Caenorhabditis elegans: one gene and its partners. The protein of the gene in region 3 purifies or fractionates together with the protein of the main gene of each other region. This does not show direct contact. Each region holds a gene or a part of one and is shown on either strand. Other genes may lie near its edges.

Region 1 (4,703 bases), on a different chromosome or scaffold from region 3:
CTTGTAAGCTGGCTTGCGAAGTTCATTCCGGACTGAAAATTTACAATTTTAAGTCTTTTCTTTACAAATAAATTTTTTAAATATACCGCAACCGGGAAATAAGCCACAGTCTCGTGGCCCTGTGTGACATGAGATCGCAGTGCACAACTTCCACAAAGCGCCAACGATTTGATATCCAAATCCACCTTAAAAAATCATTTTTCAATTTTTTTTTTTTTTTTGAAATTGGATATTTTCCGGACCTCGGCACCCAAATTCTCCACGACGTCGTATTTGAAGGCATCAGTGACGCAATTGCGGCAGACGAACATGCTGGAAATTGAATTTTTTTGTTATTTCTAATTAAAAGAGGCCTACTCCGATTCGTTGTCGTATTTGGTGCATTGAGTGCAGTCCACTGCATTTGCAGGCTTCTTTGGCTTCTCACGAAGCTTTTGGATCATGGTCACAGCATCTGAAAAATAGTTTTTTTCGGGAAATATGAATATTTTTAAAACTTGTCAATGCAAAGTTTTTTGTTCGCTTCTCCTTGCTAACCACGGCCTGAAATTATTTTATTTTTAAACAGATATCAATATATTTAAGCCATACGCGGCATGTCGGGCATTGTGTCTGGCCACCAGATCCATATGCGTCAGAATAATCGCTTTTCAAGTGCACAATGCAAGTTTCGCATAGAGAATGGCCACAAGATATGATGAATGGAGCCTTTTGATCATCTGAAAATAAAAATGTGCTTGTTTTACAATAAAAATTGGGATATTTTTCACCAAATTCTTCCTGGCACACAGGGCAAGTCGGGAGTTCTTCATTAACATCCATTTTTCTCGAAAATTCTGAAAAATAAAGTTTTTTAAATTAGAAAAATCAATATTTTTAAATTTTCGTTATTTTTAATCGTCGAATAATTGAAATTTTCGTTTAAAATTAAGGAAAAACAATTTATACAATTTATATCCGGAAAAATTAATGTTTTTGCAAATATTTGAGTTTCAAGCGTTTTCGCTTCAAGTCTCAAGGAGGATAATGTGCTTGCGCCTTTAAAAACTACAGTAAGACCTTTGTTTATTTCGTCATCGAATTTCAATGTTTTGAATCAAATTTCCCGTGATTCCGGTTTGATTTTCACAATTTTATTATGTTTTTACACTATTTAATGAATTTTAATTCAGTATATAATAAAATCCATAGATTATCCACACTGAAAATCTACCAATACCGTCAGTTTCTCAAAAAAAAAACATTTGCCCAAAAAATGCCTGTTTTCCATGGAAATTCACATTGATTTTTAATTTCACAACGTTTTTTTTGCCAATTTCTTTCCAAAATTTCTCAAAGTACTTTCGCAAACTAATCGTTCACTTTTGCGTCATGGCTCTGTGCACTGGAAACTAATTTCAAACGACGCGCGCATTGTCTTGTGCGATGGAGCGCGCTTGCTATTTTCTAAAAAGTGCTCAGTATTTTTGAAGCTTTATGGTTTTTCCTTGTATTTTGCATAATTTTAAACATTTTTCTCGAGAAAAAATATTCGAAAAAGTAGAAAACGGCTGAAATTTGGTTGTTTTTAATTTTTTCCCTCGTTCCTCAATCTTAAAATCGAAGATTTCGTCATCTCTCACTGTTTGCGCAGTGCATGATTATGATAATTAAATTCTATTGCAGAAATGTGGCGATTATACCGAAAAACGCCGAAGCAGCTGAGAAATTCGGTCGAATCATGCTTCAAATCTGTCAATTCCCGCCAATTTTCAGTCAGCTCATTTTCAGCAGTAGCCAAAGATGATGTAATATTACCGCCTGCCAGTATACTGAAAATTCTGAATTTTTTTGCAGAAATCCGTGCTAAAACAACAAGAAGTTCTGCATCTTCTCGCAAAAGATCAGCGATTTGAAGAGCGATTCTTCAATCAAGTACAGCAGACAATTCGATATTTCGCCTCGAAACCAAATGATTTGAAAAAGTTCTTCAGGAAGGAAGCATCGACGGATAATAAAGGTTTTCAGAGGGAAATTATCATTAATTCGAAGTTTTTTCCAGAATCTTCATCATCTTCTGACAAAAAGGACAGCAAAGGAAATAAGGGAGAGGATAATAATCCGTTTAATCAATTGTGAGGAGGAATAGACACAAAAATCGGCTAATTTTGGCTAAAATCTGAAATTTCGCCCAAATTATCATCATTTAGATGCTTTTCACCACGTTATTTTGTTTATTGAAGTCTCGGAGAAGCCCCGGAAATCATTTCTAGTCGAATTTCTTTGGAGTATTTCAAAAAATTGACTTTTACAGGTTTCCCGGGCCGTATTTTGAACTTTTTGGCAAAAATTGTCCCAAAGATCCGGAAAAAACTTGTAAAATCCAATATTTTTAAAATAAATTGGTGATTTTAGCTAAAATTAGCAGTTTTTTTAAAAAGTTTTATTGGCAGAGCAAAAACCGTGCCAGAGTTGCAAAAATTGGCGTTTTTAGCATTTTCTCCATTTTTCCAGATTTTCAAAAATCGAAAATTCGGGATTTCGGAATCATTTCAATAAAATTCAAAATTTAATGAAATCACGAATTTTCCAAATCGTTGAAAAAAAATTCCGAGAAAAAAAAAACAAAAAAACGCCCATTTTTGCAATTCTGGCACGGTTTTTTGCTCCGCCCACGATGTTTTTGAGCGGGGCACCACGTTTTCAAGATCTACGAGAAGAAGATCTACGTTTTCAGGATCTGGCACCGTGCCAAGTGCAGTTTTCGCAGTTTTCTCGAAGAAAATCGAAATAACGATGCTCCGATATTACGCATCGCGAGTTGTTTAGCGTTTTTCAGAAGTTTTTATTCAAAAAAGGTTTTTCTGACTAAACAACGTGCGATGCGTAATATCGGAGCATCGTTGCTTTTTCTTCGAGTAGACTGCGAAAACCGCAGTTGGCATGGTGCCAGATCCTGAAAATGTAGACCTCCTTTTCGTAGATCTCGTTTCCGGCTAGATCTTGAAAACGTGGTGCCTCTTTTGAGCACATTTACCTTTTCTAAGATTTAAAAGTGGGGTACCGAAATCTGGAAAATATTTTCAAATGTCTCCAAATTTTCTTCTCATTCCAAATATCGATGTGAAAAAAATCAAAACAATTTTCTAGATTTTATATGATTTTTTGAAAATAGGAAAAATCACAGTTTTCACCTAATTATTTTTGAATTTCCGCCAATTGGATTTGTTCGGTGGAGCGTGCTTGCAGTATTTTTATCAATTAATTTTTTTAAATTCTTGTTCTTTGACTGATTTTCTTCATTTTCTATGTTTTCTCCTCGGAAAATGGAAGAAATAAACAAGACAAATGCAAAATTCTTGTTAAAAAGTAATTGAAAATGAGTAAAACTGTGAAATATACTAATTTCAGGCTTGTTGCCGTCGGAACTCAGAATATCACAGTTTTACTCATTTTCAATTACTTTTTAACAAAAATGTTGCATTTGTCTTTTTTATTTCTTCCATTTTCCGAGGAAAAAACATAGAAAATGAAGAAAATCAGTCAAATAACGAGAATAAATAAAATTAATAAATAAAAATAATGCAAGTGCGCTCCACCGAACAAATTCAATTGGCGGAAATTCAAAAATAATTAGGTGAAAACTGTGATTTTTCCAATTTTCAAAAAATCATATAAAATCTGGAAAATTTTTTTGAATTTTAATATCATGATATTCGGTCAATGTGACCCCATAGGCGCGTTTTAAAGCAATTTACCCACTGAGCGTAGTCCACCTTTAAAAAAACGGAGAAAACCTCTAAAACCCCTTAAAATCAATCTAATTCCTCCAATTTTCAGCCCAGGAGGATGGCAACAAATTGCCGTTTCAGTTGGAATTCTGCTCGCTCTCTACGCCTTTATGGATTATCAGTCGTATCGTGAAATTTCCTGGAAGGAGTTTTACAGTGATTTCCTGGAAGCTGGACTTGTCGAGAGACTTGAAGTAGTTGATAAGCGATGGGTTCGAATTGTTAGCTCGTCTGGAAAGTATGCAGGAGTTAGTTTTTTAGTTTTTGCACTGAAATTCGTGAAAAAATGAATTTTTTTCTTTCAGCAAACGTGCTATTTCAACATCGGAAGTGTGGATAGCTTCGAACGGAGCCTCGGAGCTGCTCAGCATCATCTCCAGTATGATGCTGATCGACAAATTCCGGTTTTATATAAATCTGAATTCAATTTGTAAGGATTTCTGCAAAAATCACTCCATTTCAAGAAAAATTAGAGAAAAAAAGAAAAAACCCCCGATTTTCTTAAAGAAAAAGCTCTGGGAAATGGGAAAAGTTATAATTTTTGCATGAAAATTCAGAAAAACTTTTAATTTTTCACATTTTTTGTAGTTAAAATTTTGTTTTTAAAGTGAAAACCTTCAGAAAGTCACTGAAAATGAAAATTTTGCACAAAAATTATGGAAAAAGTTGCTTTTTGCTCGTTTTTTGCACTAAAATTTCAAAAAAAAAATCCGATTTTTCTGATTTTTTGCCTGAAAATTTCAAAAACAAAAATTAATTTTGCTGGTTTTTTGCAGAAAAATTTTTAAAAAAACGCAGTTAGGCTGTTTTTTGCCTAAAAATTCGAGAAAATCTCAATTTTGCTGAATTTTTGCACTAAAAGTCTTTTAAAAAATCCGATGTTTCTGATTTTTTGCCAAAAAATTCAAAAAAAAAAATTTTGCTGATTTGTTG
Region 2 (4,649 bases), on a different chromosome or scaffold from region 3:
TGATTTGTTCACTTGCAACGGCGACATGATTGCCGTCTATGTTCATGGAGTTGATGAAGCAAACCAAAAGTTCAGAAGACAAGAAATTGTCATCTGCAATGGTAATATACGCTTACTTGTTTAATTGTGCAAGAAATTTTTCAGGACGTAGCCCAACAACCAACCAGCCAGCAACAGGAACAATTGGCCCAATCACCATGCCAACTCAACAAACCGCGCTGACTCAAGGTCCAGTAACTCAGCAAACTCAAGTCCCAGGAACTCAACCAACTCAGGGACCAGTCGCCACGGTAAATTTCAAGTATTACTGGTGATTTAGAAATTCTGAACTTACAGACCCAAAATCCATACACATCCGCTCAGTTTGATGTTGTATTTATGATCGATGGATCACAAAGTGCACAATCCAGCTTTGACTCGGTATACATTATATGCCCTTTATGTTTCCATCATATGAATTTCAGCTCACCAAATTTGTTCAAACATTCATGGTTTCGTTCAATGTTGGCCAGAGTGGAGCTCGTGTTGGATTAATTGTCGTCGGAGGTGATATCACAAACCCAATTCCTCCTGCTGCCAATCTGAACTCCCTCTCCTCTCAAGCAATGTTGAACTCTAACTTGGCCCAACTCAGCGGTGGCTACACTGACTTTGAAGACGCCGGGCAAATTCTTAACTACACTCTTCAAATTGTGTCTTCTCCCGATTTCATGGCGGCGAACAATGGTTACCGTAGTGGCATTAGCAACCATGTGTTGATCTACCTTACTACAACTACTGCGTAAGTGTTCAAAAGATTGCCAGATAAAATTAATATTTTTTAGCTTCGACACCGATCCAACTCCGGCAGCTCAGACAATTCTCGCGCAGAAGCAATACGGAATCATCACTATTGGTTATGGTGGCGCGACTGATAACAACAAGTTGCAAACTATTTCCGGAGGAAGTGCTTGCTCGTTTACAGCTCCAGATTTTGCTAGTTTGAATAACCAAATTAAGACCATTCAGCAACTTATCCTCAATGCCAAGTAAGATATATAAGTGTGTTCATTAAGTGAAATGTTCTTATTTTCAGCGCCAATGGAGGTGTCTACTGTATCAACAACTAAGGCAGTCGACCCGGAAATCACTGAAATAATTTGAATTTTAATAAACTTATCATTATTTAACAATTTATGTGTTGGACCGAAAAATCAAAATTACGAGAGAAAAAATATAATACAAAAGTGAAATGTGATGGCAATTCAATAAACTTTACTAGTGGTTGAACTTCAAGTCGAAATCATCAGAAAGTGCTTGATAATAATTTGATGATACAAAATCGTATTCTGTGACATTATTCTGCTACTACTCAATTAGAATGCAAAGGGCGTGGAATAAATTTTAATACTGTTTGAGATGGCAAAGATAAGAGTTTGCCACGGTGATATGACGTGCCGGACACACTCTCCTTTTGCGATTAAAAAGGGTTTAAATCATTATTTCATGATAATTTCATTAGATTTGCCAGGCTGCTCCTGCCTTTTCACATTCATTTTCAGAACTCAATACCTTTTACGATATTTAGTTTTTTTGGAGTTTAAGAGCAATTAAATTAATGTGAAATTTCAGTAATGAGAAGCTGGGTTTTGATTGCGGCGTTAGCCGTGATCTGCCTGGGCGCTGAGCCTGAGCTCAGTCACAAAGAGAGAATCCGCAAAGTCTTAAAGTCATGGAACCCGGCCAACAGTAATCAACTCTTCCACCCAGTCAGTGAACAGAAGATTCAATTCGATGAGCAGTCCGATCTCTTTGTAAGTTCTAGATTTCGTTTAACTATGTTCCATATATGGTTTCAGGTTGATACTCATCATATCTCCAAAAGATCTATCGCCGAGCCTCATGTTTTTGCTGGAATGGCCACCAGAGGATGTAACAAGCCAGGATACACAGGAGCCACCTGTCAATATCGTAAGTCGGATCACATATGTGTTTTTAAACTAAAAATGCAATTTCTTAGCATTGTGCTCTGCTCGCAATCCTTACATTCCTGATAACAAGGATTCTGACGATATCTCTATTGATGCAACAAATCTTGCAAACTGCAGTCAAACATACGTCGTTGTTGTTGATGAGACCATGCGGAATATCAAAATTGAGGTCGAAACTGAGTCACCATTGAATCCAACTTTCTACCTCCAATCTGAGAGTGGAGATCTGATCTTCCCTGACACTGACAGAAAAACCGTAACTTCCTATGTGGCAACATATGAGACTTTAGCGCCAGGCCAGTATCTTCTCGGACCAAGAGCTGATTCTGGAGATGAATTTTGTACTATGATGATGACCGCTCATACCAATATTCAAGTTACTGGAGGTTTTACATCAGGCGATCAACCAGAGCGCAGCGACTATCCAACCCTCAAGTTTGCCTATTTTGACACTGAATCAGCTGTTGTTCTTCATGCACAAGGACTACACTTTCCCGGTCAAATTCAGGCGATTGGATTCACTGGCGCCGAGAACCATATCTCAAGATACATTCCTATGGCAACTCGCTTCAATTGTACTTATCCATATATTTTGGAGAGGTATACTTGCAGAAAAATTGGAAATAACGATATTGGGCACAATTTATTACAGGTAAGTGCAATGAATTGATATAAATTGCAATCATAAAAGTTCAGGTTGAAGGAATGAGCGATAACGGATACGTTTTCCGTCGTATTCTGCCCTACCAATGTATTTGTAAGTGAACGTAGTTGACAACAATAATCAACCTGAGTAATTTAGTGCCACCAGTGTCTACCACCACTGTCCCTGCTCCAACAACAACCGCTGCTCCATTGACAACCTGCCAGAACGGAGGTCAAGTTTTGAAGGATTCCAGTGGTTCACCATACTGTTACTGTTTTGGACTATACACCGGACGTGACTGTTCTCAGATGTTGTGTGCTAATGGAGGTGAATACTGTAACTAGAGCTGTTAAATAGAAAACGCTATGTTGCCATTGATGTGCTACATGGTTGATAACACAAAGACAACCTTCTAAAAAGGACACTTTTTTGAGCCAGCCTAAATTGGTCATCAAATATTTTATTTTTCAGGATTCCTTCCAACTCCCACAAGCGAACATTGTGAATGTCCAGAAGGATTCACCGGTTTCCACTGTCAAAATAGTAAGTCGCCTCGGAAAATAAACTGATCACAAATGCATTACAGTTGTCTGCCCTGGTGCATCCGGAATTGATTTCAATGCTGAAAACCCGACTGTTACTCTGGTCATTCGTTCTAGAAGCCAATTGTCAGATGTTATTCAACAGGCCACAAATTCAGTTTCAAGAATTGTCGATGAACTATCTGCCGAGCCTGGCTATCTCACTAATTTCATCGTTGTGCTCTTTGATAACGCCAGTGAGTTGATTTGCAACTAATTTACCGGGGTGGCTCCCATAAGCCTACCTTCTTATCAGGAAACGGTAATGCATTATATTTTAATTTTTAGAGCTTTTGGTAAACCAGAGATATGACTCATGGGATGCCGCTATGGTTGATCTACTTAAAGCGATTAACTCTGCCCCATCCGACGGTGGATGTGATGATGTTGTTTTCTCTGCTGTTGCGTAAGTATCGACTAGTTTTTCAATGTTTTACAGAATCTTCATGGTTGTTTTACAGATCTGCTCTTTCTCTTTATCCAACTAACAAATCACCAATCTATGTAATCACTGATGCCAATCCAAATGATAGCACTGAGAAGCAAACAATTGTACACTTGGAATCTTATTGGAGAGCACCAGTATGGAAAATTTATTAAATTTAAAGTTATTCGAAAATACCAGAATGTTTCAGGTCTACTTCATTTACGTGCAACCAGCAATTGGAAGTGGCTGCAATACTTCACCCGATAGTGCTGGGTACAGAGATATGGTCGATATGGCTGCGATGTCCAGCGGAAACACGTTCTACTTTAACAACAGAACCACTATCTCCAACGTATGTTTCTTTAATTCTTTAATATTAATGCATTATATTTTAAGTTCTTCTACGTTCATATGTACAACACGTTGTTCCGCTCTCAACTTGCTCTATCTGGAGATTACTCTCACTGTGCTAATCAAAACATCTACAAATCGGTTGCAGTTGACGTGACTGCTGATCAAGTTGTCGTTGTTGCTACAGGATCTAACTTGAAACTTCAAGTCACAACCCCAACCGGAGCACACCCTGACTTCTTTGTTGCATTCAATGATGGTGTTAACTACATTTGGACCTCCAACCAAATCTTCGCTGGACAATGGTTCTTCAATTTGGTTTCCGACTCACCAAACTCTGCGTGTACCTTCAAAGTATACCAGAAGAAGTATAACCTTGGTGGAATGAGCCAATACAATCCAGACTATGACATTTTCTGGTCTTTCGCAACTACCCTCACTTCTGCAGCCGGAGTTCTCCGCCAACCAGTTGCTGGTTTTGATGCTTCTCCTGTTTTCCATGTTTCCAACTACCCCGAATTCATTTCTATGGACCGCGTGCACGCCAATCTTCAGATTTATGCTATCCGCGACGGAGTTCAAACAGAGGTTTACGGATCAAGTGGAATGTACAGAGATGCTTGTGAATTCCACTTCTACTTCCCACCATTCATCTGTAATGTCCCCGATGAAGT
Region 3 (7,794 bases):
TCCCCAATAATTTAGAGCGAAAAGCGCGTGATATTCAGTTTTTGGGGGAAAAATCGTATTTTAATACAATTTTTCCTGATTTTTCTGAAAAAATCTTGGATTTCGGCTGAAAAAACACAATTTTTGTGCAATTTTCGTTGATTTCAATGACTTTTCAGTAATATAACGCTACTTTTACACTGAAATGTTAAAAAAAATCCCGATTTTCGTCCAAATTGTGTGAAATTTCAACGGAAATTCAGATTTTCACATTAAAAATTCGCCAATTAATCCATATTTTCGCTCGAAATTCGTCGCATTTTGTACCTTGGTGCCTCCGTATTCTGGGAGAAGGACACGATCTCCTGGCTTCACAGTCAATGCGACGAGCTCTCCCTTCTCGTTGCGAAGTCCGGCTCCGGCAGAGACGACGGTGGCTTCAAGGACCTGAAATATTCGAAAATTAGGTGGAAATTGCTTTAATTTGAGTGAAAATTCGGTAATTTCGGATAAAAATTGGACAAAAACCTCCGCGAGCAGTCGGAGAGCGTGTTGGCAGGGAAAATCGATAATTGCATCATTACACCAGACTTTACGGAATTTTCGGTGAAAATTAACATTTTTCGTATAAAATTGAAGGTTTTTAGCTAGAAACTGTGTTTTAGACGCCAAGTTGCACCATTTTGACGGTGAAATTGGCATTTTTGTGCTAGAAATCTGCTCCAAGACGTTGAAATTTATCAGTTTTCACCTGAAAAATCAATTTTTAGGCCAAAAATTGCTCACTTTTCCCTGTGACTTCTCCGGGAGCATGATTCCTCCCTTTGTCTTGGTCTCGGCGGCGACTCTCTCGACGAGCACACGATCATAGAGTGGCTTGAAGGTCTTGAGGACATTGCTCTGCAAAAAAATACGCGTTTAATTCGGAGAAAACACCGGGAAAATAGCTTACCGATCGGCGGACAGCGGTGAGGAACATTTTTCGGCTGAAAAATTGGTTTTTTGAGTTTTAAAATTTATTTTTAGCGGGAAATTACATGAAAACAACGAAAAAACCCGAAGAAACCCGCGAAAATTCAGAAAATGATCAAAAAACCAAAAGAAGCTTCGAGAAAAAAAGCAGAAAATAAATGTGCGGCGCGAAAAATCTCGTGCGGCAAACTTGCAAATCTAGGCGTGTCGGGCCAATGGCAGACACCGCGCCGCAAATTCAGCCAATCAGCGCGCTCAGCTCCACCTAGAAAAGTGTGCGCACCTTGCAAAACTGGGCGGAGCGAGTGAAATGATGCAAAAGTCTATTCTGATGTAAATTAGCCATTTTACATCAAAATTTGCGTCATTTTCGTTATTTTTCTCTCATTTTTCATATTTTGAACGAAAAATTGAGGTTTTTTGCTTCTATTTTCATCAGAAACCATTGAAAAATGCTTATTTTTGGGCCATTTTTCGTCGAAATTAGGGGAAAAAACTATTCTACAGTTTTCCCAGCTATTTTCTCATTTATTCCTGTATTTTTCAGTCATTACCTGCTTCCCAGACGATAATGCAAGGCTTCTCGCTTCATTTTCATAAAAAACGATTGAAAAATGCTTATTTATAGGCCATTTATCGTCTAAATTAGGGGAAATATCTGTTTTACCGTTTTCCCAGCCGATTTCTCATCCATTCTCGTTATTTTTCACTCCTTTTCTGCTTCTCAGACGATAATGCAAGGCTTCTCGCTTCATTTTCGATGAGAAACTCTGATTTTGCTCGCATTTTCGCCTTTCCGCTGCAGATTTTCACACAATTTTCGTAGTTTTTCAGACACAAAAGATGCTTCGCCTCGCCAGAAAGGGACTTCAGACCGCCGTCGTCAGATCTTACGCCAAGGACGTCAAGTTCGGAGCCGAAGGACGACAGGCCATGCTCGTCGGAGTCAACCTGCTCGCCGACGCCGTCTCTGTCACTATGGGCCCAAAAGTACGGGGATTTTGATGTGAAAATTGAGGAAAAAATGCTGTAAAAAAATCTATTTTAACGTATTTTTATACACAAAACTTCCGGTTTAATGCAAAATTTAATTTTTTTTTCTTCATAAATACAGCCTCTAAAACTCCAAACTCTTTCAGGGAAGAAACGTGATCATCGAGCAGTCGTGGGGAAGCCCAAAGATCACAAAGGACGGAGTCACCGTCGCGAAATCCATCGACCTCAAGGACAAATACCAGAACCTGGGAGCCAAGCTCATTCAAGATGTCGCCAACAAGGCTAATGAGGAGGCTGGAGACGGAACCACCTGCGCCACAGTTCTCGCCAGAGCCATCGCCAAAGAGGGATTCGAGAGCATTCGTCAAGGCGGAAACGCTGTCGAGATCCGTCGTGGAGTCATGAACGCCGTCGAAGTCGTCGTTGCAGAGCTCAAGAAGATCTCCAAGAAGGTTAATACCGGGAAATTGTGGATTTAAATTCAAAAGCCACAGTGATTTTTGGAAAAATTGGGATTTTTGACCCAATTTTGAAGCGATTTTCATTTGATGTTAGAGGAAAAACTAGAATTTCGCTCAAATCTGCTTGAAAATCGCGAATTTGTGGCTAAAATCAGTTGCCAGGAATTCAAAATCTTCAAAAAACCGTCATTTTTTCCCAATTCGGGCCATAAAGCTTATTTGTTCGACGGAAAAACCTTCATATTCCGGAAAACTGACAAAATTTCACTGATTTGCTCTGAAAATCTTGAAAAACCGTCATTTTTCCCCTACTCAGGACGAAAAGCTTATTGTTTGACGGAAAAACCCGAATATTCCCGAAAAATTACAAATTTTCACTGATTTGTCTCGAAAAACCTTGAAAATTCAAAAAGTTCGCCAAAATGTGGTGCTTTTTGGAACAATTGGCAGCTCTGATGCAATTTTTCATTCAATGTTGGCCTGAAAAGCTGAAAATATCGAATTTTTGGCCAAAATCAATAAAAACCCGCAATTTTCCCCAATTCAGGACGAAAGCACCTAATATCCCGGAAAATTTGCAAAATTTCGTGTTTTTTCAAACAGTTGTGAGCTCTGATCCAATTTTGAAGCGGTATTCATTCAATGTTGGCCTGAAAAGCTGAAAATATCGAATTTTTGGCCAAAATCCATAGAAACCCCGCAATTTTTACCCAATTCAGAACGAAAATCTTATTTTGTTTGACGGAAAAACCTTAAAAATCCGGAAAGCTGACAAAATTTCACTGATTTGCCCTGAAAAACCTTGAAAAGCCACTATTTTTTACCCAATTCAGGACGAAAAGCTTGTTGTTTGAATGAAAAAGCCCTAATATCCCGAAAAAATGGCCAAAAATTCACAGATTTGTAGGGAAATCGCGACTATTTCTGACTATATTTGCTCGATATACCTGAATTTTTACTTGTTTTAAACCAAAAATCGCGCCTAGAAACCTAAAAAATCAGAAAAAAAACTAAATTTAGCAATAATTTAACTAAAAAAAACTTGTTCCTGCAGGTCACCACCCCCGAAGAGATCGCTCAAGTCGCCACAATTTCCGCCAATGGAGACACCGTCGTCGGAAATCTCATCAGTGACGCCATGAAGAAGGTCGGAACCACTGGAGTCATCACTGTTAAGGACGGAAAAACGCTGAACGATGAGCTCGAGCTTATCGAGGGAATGAAGTTCGACAGAGGATACATCTCGCCGTACTTTATCACCTCTGCGAAAGGAGCTAAAGTCGAGTACGAGAAGGCTCTTGTCTTGTTGAGCGAGAAGAAGATCAGCCAAGTTCAGGATATTGTGCCGGCTCTTGAGCTCGCCAACAAGCTCCGCCGTCCATTGGTTATCATTGCCGAGGATGTTGATGGAGAGGCTCTTACCACTCTTGTTCTTAATAGACTTAAGGTACAGACGACAAGAAGCGAAAAACTGCAAATTTTGTCGAAAACCAGCGTTGAAACTCCATTTTTTGACGGAAATTCGCGTTATTTCGATTATTGCCCCCAAATACGGAGAAAAATGCGAAATTTGCTGAAACCCGACGTTTTCTTGATTAGTTTACCCCCAAATACGAAAAAAAAGTACAAAATTCGAAATTTTCAGCCAGGAATTTGGATTTCTCTTGAAATTTTGAATTTTTCAGCCAGGAATTTGGATTTTCCCTGAAATTTTGAATTTTTCAGCCAAAAATTTGGATTTTTCTTGAAAACTTCAATTTTTCAGCCAAGAATTTGGATTTCTCCTGAAATGTTGAATTTTCCACCCAAAAATTTTGATTCTTCTTGAAATTCGAACTTTCCAGCCAAAATTTTTCGCAATTTCGACTGAAAAATTCGTTTAAAAGCCGAAAATTACTGTTTTTCGGATCAGTTTCAGCTTGATTTTACAAACTTTTGGAAACTACAGATTTCTGCCGGAAATTACTTATTTTGGCATTAAAAACTTTTAATATCCCGATTTTTGGTTCGAAAAAATGTGTTTTTTTGCCAATTTCGACTGAAAAATGGCTAAAAATGCTGCAAAAATTTTGTATTCGTCCAAAAAATCCCCGGAAATTCACGTTTTTAGCCTAGAAAACTTGAATTTTTATCAGAAAATTCAAGTTCAAAGAACCGCGAGCATTTTTTGATCAGTGATGTTTGTTAGCAGCAGGAGGCTACTCGCAACAAAATACGAGCGACCTTGATTAGAGAATGATAATATATCTTCTTTTTCTTATCAGTTGAGAGAGTTTTACAAATTTTACGGCAAGAAAATAGAAAAAAAGCAGAAGAAACTAGGGATTCAGCAAGAAAATCGCCAGGAAATTTCATAATTTCCTGGATTTTCTCCAAAAACATGAAGATTTCACCTGAAAATCGCGCTAAATTAAAGTTAATTAATGTGTTTTACACTGAAAAACCTTTAAAACCGCAGAATTTTCTTCCAGGTCGGATTTATTCAGTATTCTACATAATTTTCCATTTTTATCAGTGAAAAAGTGCGCATTGACTTCTGAGAAAGTCTATTTTTGCTATTTTTGCTAAAAAATACATATTTTCACTGAAAAACCTCTAAACTCCATCATTTTCCACGATTTTAAGTTTAAAAAAAAACTAATTTTTCACTAAAAACCCTGTAAAACCGCAGAATTTTCTCTTCCAGGTCGGACTTCAAGTCGTCGCAATCAAGGCTCCAGGATTCGGAGATAACCGCAAGAACACGCTCAAGGATATGGGAATTGCGACGGGAGCAACGATCTTTGGAGATGACTCGAATCTCATTAAGATCGAGGATATCACAGCCAACGATCTCGGAGAAGTCGATGAGGTCACCATCACCAAGGACGATACTCTTCTTCTTCGCGGGCGTGGAGATCAAACAGAGATCGAGAAGCGAATCGAGCACATCACCGATGAAATTGAGCAATCGACGAGCGATTACGAGAAGGAGAAGCTTAATGAGCGTCTCGCCAAGTTGAGCAAGGGAGTCGCTGTGCTCAAGATTGGAGGAGGATCTGAAGTTGAAGTTGGAGAGAAGAAGGTGTGCGGAATTTGGCTGAAATTGGAGAAAAATTGAAGAAAAACTGGCTATTTTCCGTGGGAAAATGATCAAAATCCGTTCATTTTTGAGCTTTTTTTAGCAGAAAATTGGTTTAAAAAAACCTCAATTTCTACCAGATTTTTGTCGAGAAACCTGATTTTAAAACCTTTTTTGTGCCGTTTGTGCCATTGGAAACTCGTTAAAACTCAGTTTTTTATTTTTATTTGCAACAAAACGCAAGATTCTCTTTGTGCTCCTTTCGAGTAAAATTTATGGTAAATTCCCCCATTTTTGTGAAAGAAACCCACTAAATCTGCAGATTTTTCTTGAAAATTTAAATTTTTATTTAAACAATCTGACTTTTTCTTACAAATTTGAATTTTTTTAGCCAAAAATCTGAATTTTTCAGCCAAAAATTTGAATTTTTCTTGAAAATTTGATTTTTTCAGCCAAAAATTTGGATTTTTCTTGAAAGTTAGAATTTTTTAGTCGATCATTTTCAGCTTGATTTTGCCGTGTAAACTACAGATTTCTGCCGGAAAACATTAAAATTTGCGATTTTAGCAATTTCCAGCCGATTTTTGGTTCGAAAAAATGGCTATTTTGCCAATTTGAATTTTTCAGACAAAATTTTGCATTTTCCTTAAAAATTTGATATTTTCAGCCAAAAAATTGGATTTTCCCTGAAAATTTGATATTTTCAGCCAAAAATATGGATGTTTCTTAAAATTCGAACTTTCTAGCCGAAATTTTTCGCAATTGCCACTTAAAATTTTGTTGTTAGAAGCCGAAAATAACTGTTTTTTTCGCAATTTCAACTGAAAAAATTGATAAAAAAACGCGGAAAAAACTGTTAAATTGATTTTTCCCGCTGAGCATGCTCAAAAATAGCAGAAATTTTGGTTTTCCTGCGCGGAAAAATCTTGATTTCCACCAGATTTTATCGGTTTTCTGCAATTTTTTGTATGATTTTTCATCAATTTTTTTTTCATTACAGGACCGTGTCACCGATGCTCTGTGTGCCACGCGTGCCGCTGTCGAAGAAGGAATCGTTCCAGGAGGAGGTGTTGCTCTTCTCAGATCTCTGACAGCACTCAAAAACTACAAAGCAGCCAACGAGGATCAACAGATCGGTGTGAATATCGTCAAGAAGGCTCTCACTCAGCCAATCGCCACAATCGTCAAAAATGCCGGTCTTGAGCCATCGTCGATTATTGATGAAGTCACCGGAAACAGCAATACATCATATGGTTATGATGCGCTCAACGGAAAGTTCGTTGACATGTTCGAGGCTGGAATTATCGATCCAACTAAGGTATATACAGCGTCAAAAATTTGAATTTTTCGTGAAAATTTGAATTTTTGAGACAAAAATTTTGGATTTACCTCCAAAATTTGAATTTTTAGCCAAAAAATTTGAATTTTTCGTGAAAATTTGAATTTTTGAGCCAAAAATTTGGATTTTCCTCCAAAATTTTAATGTTTTAGCCAAAAATTGCATTATTTCACTGAAAATTTTCATTTTTAAGCCAAAAATTAGGAATTTTCTTGAAAATTTGAAGTTTTCAGGCGGAAAATTTGGATTTTACGTGAAAATTTAAATTTTTCAGCCAAAAATTGGAGTTTTTCAGCAGAAATTATTTGAAAGTAGTTCAAAAATTGGTCAAAAAATGGAAAAAAATTGCTTCTGGCCGTCTTTTTTTTTTTTTTGGAAAAAAAAACCCTGAAAATTCAACATTTCAAGAAAAATCGAAAATTTTTATGCAAAAAAAAATCTCCCCAAAAACCGCAATTTTCCAAATTTCCAGGTGGTTCGCACAGCTCTCCAAGATGCTTCAGGAGTCGCCTCACTTCTCGCCACAACCGAATGCGTAGTCACCGAAATTCCAAAGGAAGAAGCAGTTGGTGGACCAGCCGGTGGAATGGGTGGAATGGGTGGAATGGGCGGTATGGGAGGAATGGGATTCTAAGCTCTCAATCTCTCATTGAAATAACGACACCGATGGATTGATTTTCTCTCTAAAACACTGGTTTTTGCTCAATTTTGTCGTTTTTCCCATCATTTTTTCCCCAAAAATTTCCCCAAAAAAATTATGATCTTTTGTGCTCTGAGCCATTTGTTTTTTTCTTGTTTTACGGCTCTTTTTCCCCTTTTTTTGATGATAACTTTTCAATGGTGTTTTTTTTTTTAATTTTTTCGCAATTTTAGGACCTCAATTTTTTTTAGTTTAGTGTTTTTCCCCTTGTTTTTAGAGTATAATATATAGAATCTCCTTGTTTTTTTTTTCCGTTTTTTTCTTTGTTTTCACTCTCCTCCCCACC

What was found.
Region 1: the proteins of hsp-60 (region 3) and spg-7 fractionate together in Caenorhabditis elegans (co-fractionation; one large-scale study listed by BioGRID). This does not show direct contact.
Region 2: the proteins of hsp-60 (region 3) and hrg-11.2 fractionate together in Caenorhabditis elegans (co-fractionation; one large-scale study listed by BioGRID). This does not show direct contact.

What each region holds. Positions count from the first base shown.
Region 1 is NC_003279.8:3,465,467-3,470,169, forward strand, and holds the start of spg-7 (AFG3-like protein spg-7), read left to right. Parts: upstream 1-1,665; 5' UTR 1,666-1,667; coding exon 1,668-1,787; intron 1,788-1,836; coding exon 1,837-1,999; intron 2,000-2,041; coding exon 2,042-2,114; intron 2,115-2,655; exon of another isoform or gene 2,656-2,721; intron 2,722-3,819; coding exon 3,820-4,018; intron 4,019-4,075; coding exon 4,076-4,200; intron 4,201-4,703. Other genes in the region: Y47G6A.14 (RING-type domain-containing protein), read right to left, coding at 1-32, 87-185, 243-312, 358-454, 498-543, 592-719, 771-822.
Region 2 is NC_003284.9:3,232,371-3,237,019, reverse strand, and holds the start of hrg-11.2 (C-type LECtin), read left to right. Parts: upstream 1-1,611; 5' UTR 1,612-1,613; coding exon 1,614-1,793; intron 1,794-1,838; coding exon 1,839-1,950; intron 1,951-1,999; coding exon 2,000-2,622; intron 2,623-2,666; coding exon 2,667-2,727; intron 2,728-2,772; coding exon 2,773-2,943; intron 2,944-3,087; coding exon 3,088-3,159; intron 3,160-3,202; coding exon 3,203-3,394; intron 3,395-3,485; coding exon 3,486-3,603; intron 3,604-3,658; coding exon 3,659-3,779; intron 3,780-3,832; coding exon 3,833-3,976; intron 3,977-4,020; coding exon 4,021-4,649. Other genes in the region: Protein irg-7, read left to right, coding at 1-101, 145-290, 337-420, 465-781, 825-1,028, 1,076-1,109.
Region 3 is NC_003281.10:1,617,965-1,625,758, forward strand, and holds the start of hsp-60 (Chaperonin homolog Hsp-60, mitochondrial), read left to right. Parts: upstream 1-1,777; 5' UTR 1,778-1,794; coding exon 1,795-1,941; intron 1,942-2,090; coding exon 2,091-2,399; intron 2,400-3,462; coding exon 3,463-3,855; intron 3,856-5,094; coding exon 5,095-5,472; intron 5,473-6,469; coding exon 6,470-6,787; intron 6,788-7,280; coding exon 7,281-7,442; 3' UTR 7,443-7,794. Other genes in the region: Y22D7AL.10 (10 kDa heat shock protein, mitochondrial), read right to left, coding at 307-426, 766-879, 932-958. UniProt on the Caenorhabditis elegans protein: Implicated in mitochondrial protein import and macromolecular assembly. May facilitate the correct folding of imported proteins.